Neurospora crassa OR74A: one gene and its partner. The protein of the gene in region 1 interacts with the protein of each later gene in a pairwise test. Links are inferred from orthologs where the notes say so. Each region holds a gene or a part of one and is shown in the gene's direction. Other genes may lie near its edges.

The links. The genes of interacting proteins can lie anywhere in the genome.
Region 2: the proteins of gh38-1 (region 1) and NCU04192 interact in binary tests that used the Saccharomyces cerevisiae proteins (3 or more experiments, as listed by UniProt). The link is inferred for Neurospora crassa OR74A from reciprocal best matches to the Saccharomyces cerevisiae genes AMS1 and APE1.

The regions. Positions count from the first base shown.
Region 1 is NC_026501.1:6,050,927-6,055,364, forward strand, and holds the start of gh38-1 (alpha-mannosidase), read left to right. Parts: upstream 1-1,557; 5' UTR 1,558-2,026; coding exon 2,027-3,922; intron 3,923-3,981; coding exon 3,982-4,438. Other genes in the region: NCU16408 (hypothetical protein), read left to right, coding at 1-76. UniProt on the Saccharomyces cerevisiae protein: Degrades free oligosaccharides in the vacuole.
Region 2 is NC_026505.1:5,157,129-5,161,433, forward strand, and holds NCU04192 (vacuolar aspartyl aminopeptidase Lap4), read left to right. Parts: upstream 1-1,348; 5' UTR 1,349-1,489; coding exon 1,490-1,762; intron 1,763-1,858; coding exon 1,859-2,201; intron 2,202-2,259; coding exon 2,260-3,251; 3' UTR 3,252-3,586; downstream 3,587-4,305. Other genes in the region: NCU04193 (hypothetical protein), read right to left, coding at 4,098-4,305. UniProt on the Saccharomyces cerevisiae protein: Resident vacuolar enzyme that catalyzes the removal of amino acids from the N-terminus of peptides and proteins. Also acts as the major cargo protein of the cytoplasm-to-vacuole targeting (Cvt) pathway.

The DNA.
Region 1 (4,438 bases):
TACAACAACGACTTTGATGGTTTGTGTCCGGGTTTGGAACCGACATGCAAACCCAAAGACTTCGATCTGTGTTTGATGAGGGCGACTTGACGATCATGAGCCGTCTTATGAAGGCTTGACGTACAAATGATTTGGGCATAATTATCATTTTCTCTCTGTCTCTGTCTTTCTCTCAGTCTGTACGTGTATGTGTCAGATGCTGTCAAGGTTCCATTCTATGTCTTGGTTGTCTGATTTTTGTTCCGAGATATCTACAATCAAAACCACCTTGACAGAAATGGGGGCCAAGCGCTACGCGGATTACCTGTTTGTACATCTCCGCCGGCATGCACTCTGTTAGCGTGGTACCGCCACCTCGCAGAATTTGACTGGTTGGCGGCAGGCATAATACCAACCGTTCTCTGTAGGAAAACCAAAGTTATCGCCACATGCAATTTTACCGCGCTGACAGAGTATTCTAGTGTAAATGCTGGCAGAGGTGTGAAGAGAAAAGGCGAGACTTGCGGAAATACGACCCGGCGGAGGCGTATCTGATTCGCTATTTCGGATTGGAGGACGGATGGACGCTATTGCAAGCAAGTTCGCAAACTTTACCTTGAAGATGTAAAAAGAAAAGAAGCAGAAGAAAGACAAGATCATGTAGTTCAAATTTCGGCCAAATCGAGGCCTGGAAAGTGTAGTGTGTTTCACGATGTATGGTCGGCCAACGCGGTTGCTGAAACGGGACAGGAACTGTTGACGGCTAGGCATGTTGTCGTGGTTCCTCGTCGTTTGAATGAAAAGGATCGACCGACATGCGTGTAATGCGTGCGTGTAATGCATCGACATTTCGAAACTTTCCAGACATGTTGGGGTCCAAATTGGCTGTTGCTGTACAAGCCGCTGCCCTGTTGCACTCACTTCATCTTTCTGCTGCAGAGTGCAGGCCGGAAGGAAGGAAGGAAGAATGGGGTTGACTGCCCAGCCGCAGGCAGGCGGATCAAATCATCCAAGTCAGCCCAGAGCAGGGATCCAATGGTGAACATGTGAGTGACTTGGATCCTCCCCGCATTGCGTCGGGTTTGTGCCCCCCAGACCCCTTCCCTTTGCCCCCCCCCCCCCGTGTCCATACTTGCTGTTTTTCTGGTGTTTCAGGCGTGGCTTGCAGTGGATCTACCCCGGCCACAACCTGAACCCTCAGCCCTGACAGCACAAACGAGCAGGAACAGCTCAGCACCTGCGCCGCACTAGAGGTACCCTAGGCGGGCGGGGATTAGACACACCACCACCGCCCCGGCCCTGACTCCCCCTCCCCTCCCTCCCTGACCACCTCAGCAGCCCGACCTCCTCCCCAGGCTTGCACCAGGACAGCCAGAACCACCTACCTATCTCGGGGCCAGCCAGCTGCCAGCCTGCCATTCAGCGCTTCGCCTGGACAGCGATGGAAGGAAACATTAGGTAGGTTGGCGGGCAAGAGGACTGGGTCCGAGAACCAACCCCCCCCCCCCCCCCCCCGTTGGTCAGTCCCGCCGTCAGTCCTCTTGCAAGTGTGGAAGCATTTCCTCGTTTCCTCCCACTCCTAGACGTAGTTGCTCCTTTTGCTGCTCCTCCTCCATCATCATCATCATTATCATCCTCCTCCTTCTCGACCCTCGACCCGCGATTGACCCCTCCCCCCCCGCTAGACGTGTTCGCTGGCCTCGCGAGCCGAAACCATACGATACCAATACCAATACCGTCCATTCCAGTTGGCTCCAATGTGTACAGCACTTTCGTTAGTTTCGTCAGAGATATAGCCAAACATACAGACGCTTTAACCTTCTTCAACTACTTTTGAGAACCTGTTGGATGACTTGTCGTGTTATGACCTACGCTTGAACCATACTACCTTACCTACCGACGATTTCTAAACCTACCTTGCCTAATTCCTCTCCTCGAGCTTATATCTGCGCCCGCCCTCCCGGCAAGATCCTAGAATACTCGTTTCCCCGTCCCCGTCGACTGCTCGACCCCCTATCAAAACACCATATACCCGCACTATATCAAGATGGGCGGGGAATCAGCAACTCAGAGCAAGCCCATCTCGGCTTACCCGCTACGCGCACCCAAGCCGGTCGGCCAGTACATCACCAACATCTACAAGGATCGTATCAGTCAGTTTTACGCAAAGGGACAATGGGAGCACAACAATCTCAACGCCATGATGTACGAGGGTGTCGCCGAGGGCGAGCCCCATGTCAAGCTGTTCGTCTGGGATGCCCCCGACCAGGATCGACCAACCTTTGACGAGGCCGTCAAGCACGAGTTCAGAAAGACAGAAGTCGGCGCTCGATTCGGCCCTGCCTGGTCGACCCACTGGTTCAAGGTTGTCCTTACGGTCCCCGAGGACTTGCGCGATAAGAGGCTGCTCGAACTCCACTGGGACGCCAATAACGAGGGCATGGTCTGGACGCACGATGGCAAGCCGCTGCAGGGCTTAACGGGCGGTGGTGAGCGTACCGAGTGGATATTGCCAGACTCGTTCCGTGACGGAAAGGAACATATCATCTACATCGAGATGGCCTGCAATGGCATGTTTGGTGCAGCGGGAGGGGGCGATATCATCCAGCCTCCTGATCCAAACAAGCACTTTCGTCTCGACAAGGCCGAAATTGTGGCTGTGAACCCCGATGCGAGGCAGCTATACATCGATATCTGGATCATTGGTGATGCGGCACGCGAGTTCCCGAGTGAATCGTGGGAGCAGCATCAGGCGCTGAAGACGTGCAATGAGATTATCGAGGCCTTTGAGCTCGGCAATAAAGACTCGCTCAAAAAGTGTCGGGAAATTGCTCAGCAGTACCTTGGTCCGGACGTTGACTCGGCCAGGGTATACGACACCAAGAGGGGAAAGGCACCGCTTGTTTTTGGTATCGGCCATTGTCACATCGACAGTTGCTGGCTATGGCCCTGGGATGAGACCAAGCGCAAGGTAGCTCGATCTTGGTCTAACCAATGCGACCTCATGGACCGCTACCCAGAACTCAACTTTGCTTGCTCACAAGCACAGCAATACAAATGGTGCAAGACTCTATACCCCCATGTCTGGGAACGTGTCAAGAGCAAGGTGGCCGACGGTCGTTTCCATCCTATCGGAGGTAGCTGGGTTGAGCACGACACCAACATGCCCAGCGGCGAGTCCTTGGTCCGGCAGTTCGTGTACGGCCAGCGTTTCTTCGAGAGCAACTTTGGAAAGAGGTGCCAAACATTCTGGCTGCCTGACACTTTTGGCTATTCCAGTCAGCTACCCCAACTCTGCCGCCTCGCTGGCATGACTCGGTTCCTAACCCAAAAGCTGAGCTGGAACAACATCAACAAGTTCCCCCACACAACCTTCAACTGGGTTGCCCTCGACGGCACGCAGGTCATCTGCCACATGCCCCCTTCAGAAACCTACACCGCCGAGGCCCACTTTGGCGATGTTAAGCGCAGCATGTCACAACACAAGTCTCTCGACCAAGATCATACGTCTTTGCTCGTCTTTGGCAAGGGAGATGGAGGTGGCGGCCCTACGTGGCAGCACCTAGAGAAGCTTCGTCGCTGCCGCGGTATCAGCGATACTGTTGGTCTCCTACCGCGGGTGTCTCTGGGCGGTTCGGTAGATGACTTCTTTGATAGTCTCGAGCGGAAGGCTGATTCGCTGGTTACCTGGTTTGGTGAACTGTACTTCGAGCTGCACCGCGGAACATACACTACGCAAGCGAACAACAAAAAGTTCAACCGGAAAGCTGAGTTTGTGCTGAGGGACATCGAGCAGCTCGCAACGATTGCCTCACTCAAGGACAAGGACTACAAGTATCCAAAGAAGGAAATCGACGAAATGTGGGAGGCAACACTGCTCTGCCAGTTCCATGATTGTCTCCCTGGCAGCTCAATTGAGATGTGTTATGATGATTCGGATAAGGTATGTTTGGGCTTGATTAGTTTGTTCGTGATGAAGGATTACTGACTTCCCTTCGACAGCTCTATGCTCAAATTTTCAAGACCGGTGAGAGGCTCTTGAGGGATGCATGCAAGGCATTAGGCGTTTTCCAAGTAGACGCCACGGGCGTGGAGCGCGGCATTGCCCTGAACACTTTACCCTGGTACCGCGAGGAGCTTGTTGAGATTTCCAAGGGTGATTTTGCCCTTGCCAAGGGTGTAGGTCCTCTCCTTAAACTCCAGCAATACGAAATCATGCAAGTGGACGACGGGGTCAAGCTCCACAAGCTATCCAACGGTGTTTTCGTCCTCGAGAATAAGCGACTCAAGGTCCGTGTCGAGGCCGGCACCATCACGTCCCTCTACGACAAATACGACAGGCGCGAGGTCATCCCTGAAGGCCAGCGCGCCAACCAGTTCGTCATCTTCGACGACAAGCCGCTCTACTGGCAAGCCTGGGACGTCGAAGTCTATCACCTCGACACGCGCAAGGAGCTCC
Region 2 (4,305 bases), on another chromosome or scaffold:
ATATTGTATTCGGAACGAAAGAGATCTTGGAGTGGAAGAGTTTGAGCTTCAGATGATGAGTGCACTTGTCGATAGGCCAGTTTGCGACGACTGATGTACGAATATCTACACCAAATGTGCCCTATAAGCAGAAAGGGGAATGGAGTTGAAGACTATGTTCAAGCTCGCCTGTTGGTAGATATTCAAACATACTCTTTACTCTCTCGAAAAGATAATGTCAGAGGACGTGTTACGGTCAGTCTCGTGCTCAAATCTCCCTATGGGTTCACTATTCAACTTCACTCTTCACAATGAGATATCGTGCCAGGACCGGAATATACTGGACAGAACTTGGGCTACCTCATGCTTTATTGTTTGCACACTTGCCTTATAATCCAGCTGTGTTCGTGAACACCTATCGCAAGGTCGTACAAATATGATAGATTTGCATGAACCTCAGCTCTATCCAGCACATGTCGCTATTGGTATTGCCAAGTGAACAGAGCACGGATACGGGTACCATATCCGACTGACCTGACTACATGTATTGGAGAGATTGTCATGTACCAGTTTGGAATGCTCACTTTGATGATTCAGAGTCTTGATGGATTGCTCGACTATTCTGCATGCTTGAACGGACGATCAATTCTGATGTGTTTGTCTCGTAATCTTTTTGACAGCACCATATGTCCGGTGAGCAAGACCCATCCGACTTAGAATATGAGACCGAGTTTGCTAATTCCGTGAGGTATCTCAGGAATGCGGTATCGACGAGTGAATCTGGACGCAAGCGGATGACTTGATGAAACACTCGTCGGGTACACAAGATTGATGCTGACTGACAGAAGCAAAAGACTATGGACGCGAACAGTTTCACTCTGAGATGTTAAGGATCAAAAAGGATTGAAATTAGTAAGTGCTTTTCTTGTACGTATTCTGCTTCATCATGGTCATTGAAGTGAAGGTCAATCAAATGTGCAAATGTACAACTGAGCTGGGAGAGCTCTACCTGCCTTATACGATGGACCTCTAACCCAGGGCTGCTTATCACTGCAGCGCACCTTAGCGCCGATCTTGCCCTGGCATGAGGCAGGAGCCGGGGGTTGGGGCCGCGGGGACATCAAAGGCCAAATCCGGCCTATCAAAGAGCTCATTTGATGGGATCAAGTACCCCACCGAGCCCACCATGTAGCTGACTCCAGCTGCCCAGAACCGCCTAGCCAGTGATAAGCGCGTCACCTGGACGGATTGTTGGCAACCGGGGTACCGCCTACTCGCTGTGCTGTACCCTGTAGCTGTAGGCTGTAGCTGCAACCTATAGCCGGTAGAGGTAGCTACCTACTGTACATGTACACCTTTGTAAGTGGAAGCTGTTCACCGACCGACCGCCTTCCTTTCTGTTGCCATCTCGTGCGTGTCATCATCTCGTCCTCTTGTTCCTCCCTGTCATCTTCTCATTTCTCTTCTCTCCAAAACATACAAATCCATCCGCATCACCCAGATATACACAATGGTCCGCGCCACTCCCGAATATCTCGCTGCCCGTACATCCATGATGTCTCTCCGAGCGCAAGCCCTCGAGCAGTCCATGATGGCCTCGCAAACATACTACGCTCCTCCTCAGCAGCCCCAGCAGCCTGTTGCTGCCAACCAGATCAATGCCAAGGACATCAAGCCCGAGGCTTTCACCAAGCCATACCTCGAGTTCATGACCGAGAACCCAACCGTTTTCCACGCTGTTGGTTACTTCAAGGAGAAGCTTGACAAGGCCGGCTACAAAGAGGTAAGCCGTCACAGCTTCCCAGCCCCCCTCCCGCAGTTGAAATACCACAACCGAGGCACAAGGACCGAAACTGACTAAGCGCCTTGTAATTTGTAGCTTCACAGCAGAGACTCCTGGTCTGGCCAGATCAAGCCCGGCGGCAAGTACTACACCACTCGCAATGGCAGCTCCATCATCGCCTGGGCCGTCGGCAAGGCGTATAAGCCAGGCAACGGTCTTGCTATGGTCGCCGGTCACATCGACGCCCTCACAGCCCGCCTCAAGCCTATCAGCACCAAGCCTAGCCACGATGGCTATGTCCAGCTCGGCATTGCCCAGTATGCCGGCGCTCTCAACAGCACATGGTGGGACAGAGACTTGAGCATCGGTGGTCGTGTCATTGTTAAGGATCCCGAGACGGGCAAGACCTCTACCAAGGTCGTCAAGCTTGATTGGCCCAGTATGTTGACTCCCCCCAACCCAATTCCATCCGATGAAAGCTAACACACACTTTCCAGTTGCTCGTATCCCTACTCTGGCTCCCCATTTCGGCATTGGTATGACGGGCCACAACAACCAGGAGACCGAGATGACCCCCATCATTGGCCTCGATAACAGCGACCTCAACTCCTCTTCCACCGCCTCCTCCGAGAAGCCCATTGGCCCCAAGGGTTCTTTCGTCTCTACCCAGCCTCCTAAGCTCGTCAAGCTCATTGCTTCCCAGCTCAAGCTTGAGGACTACACCAACATTCTCAACTGGGAGCTCGAGCTCTACGACTCTCAGCCCGCCCAAGTTGGTGGTATCGACAAGGAGTTCATCTTTGCCGGCCGCATCGACGACAAGCTCTGCTCGTGGGCCGCTTTCATGGCCCTCCTCCACGCCCGTGACGATGAGGACTCTGGCGTCATCAAGCTCGTAGCGCTTTTCGACGACGAGGAGATTGGCTCCCTCCTCCGCCAGGGTGCGCGCGGTAACTTCCTCCCCATTGTTATCGAGCGCACCGTCGAGGCTCTCGTTGCCAACACCAACACTCTCTACCAAAATGCTTTCATCGGCGGCACCGGCCTCGGCCCCGGTCTCATGGGCCAGACGTACGCCAACTCTTTCCTCGTCTCGTCGGACGTGACCCACGCTGCCCACCCCAACTTTACCCAAACCAACCTGACCGATCACTCTCCTCGCTTGAACGTCGGTGTGGCCCTTTGTGTCGATGCCTCGGCGCACATGACCACGGATAGCGTGTCCATGGCCATCCTCGACCGCGTCGCCGAGCTTTCTGGCTGCGTCAACCAGAGGCACATGATCCGCAATGACAGCCGGTCCGGTGGTACCGTGGGCCCTATGCTCAGCAGTGCTATGGGTGTCAAGGCGGCGGATGTCGGTATTCCCCAGTTGAGCATGCACAGTATCCGTGCCACGACTGGTAGCTTGGACCCCGGTCTTGGTGTCAAGTTCTACAAGGGTTTCTTGGATGAGTGGGAGAAGGTTGATAAGGAGTGGAGGGCTTAGATGTCTGGTAGGACTATTTGTTTGATCTAACTTGATGTGTTTATGATGGGACTGGGATGGCGTGGTGTTAATGATGGGTTTCAATCTGTAATGAACTGAATTTGATGAGTTGCTTTTCTTGGATAAGAGGGAGATGATTTGACTCGGGTTTGATGTGACATTATGGTGCATGCAGGGAGGGGTGGTGTGTTACTGCGCAGCATAGTCTTTCGATTTCCTATCGTCTTAGAGTAGTGCATATGGTATAGATGATAAACTTTGTAGAACAATGTGATATCTACAATTTTGATGGCCAGTAAGCTTCTTATGCTCTCTGGTAGAACCAGTAAGATACGCAACGTGGCCGTGACTGGGCCATTTCCTATCAGCCGTGCGAGAGAATTTATCCAATGACAAAGGTGAAGGGCATTTTCGATGGTCAGGTTTTCTTGATCCAAGTTACAAAAGGACTTGGTCGTGGAGATTAATTTGGATCTTACATAAGGTATATGTAGATGTATCAATGGGTTTCAAATAGGGATTGCGCTCAATATCACGTTTAAAGAGAATGATTCGTGTCTGGTAAAACGAGGGTCAAGACCATAAAGACGTAGTAGTATATCAACATCGCCCGTTTCTATGCACGAAACGAACAATGTTTGCTGTGTTGTTTAGCCCTCCGTCCAAACGATCCTAAACAAAAGCCAACGGGTATCACCAACTTCACGTCTTCAACCGTGCCTTGCCTATCCAGGCTCTTTCTTGGTCCATGTCTCCACAATATGATGACTTTCAATGATCCAACGCCAATTGTGCTACCAACACATGCTTCCTTCCTCGAACATGTCGAATCCTCAGAATCCATCCTCAGAACTTGGTTGGAATGAAATGCTGCGAATCTTCCTGCTGCTGCGCTCTCGTTTGCGGAAATGCAGCAATACCGGCAATGATGCCACAGGCCATGAAGCCCAACGAGATGATAGACCAGATGACTCCCCAGCACTGCGAAGAACCTCCATATCTTTTTGCAAAGACACTGGCATCCGAGCTGTTGACTTTGCGCAAGATCAAATCA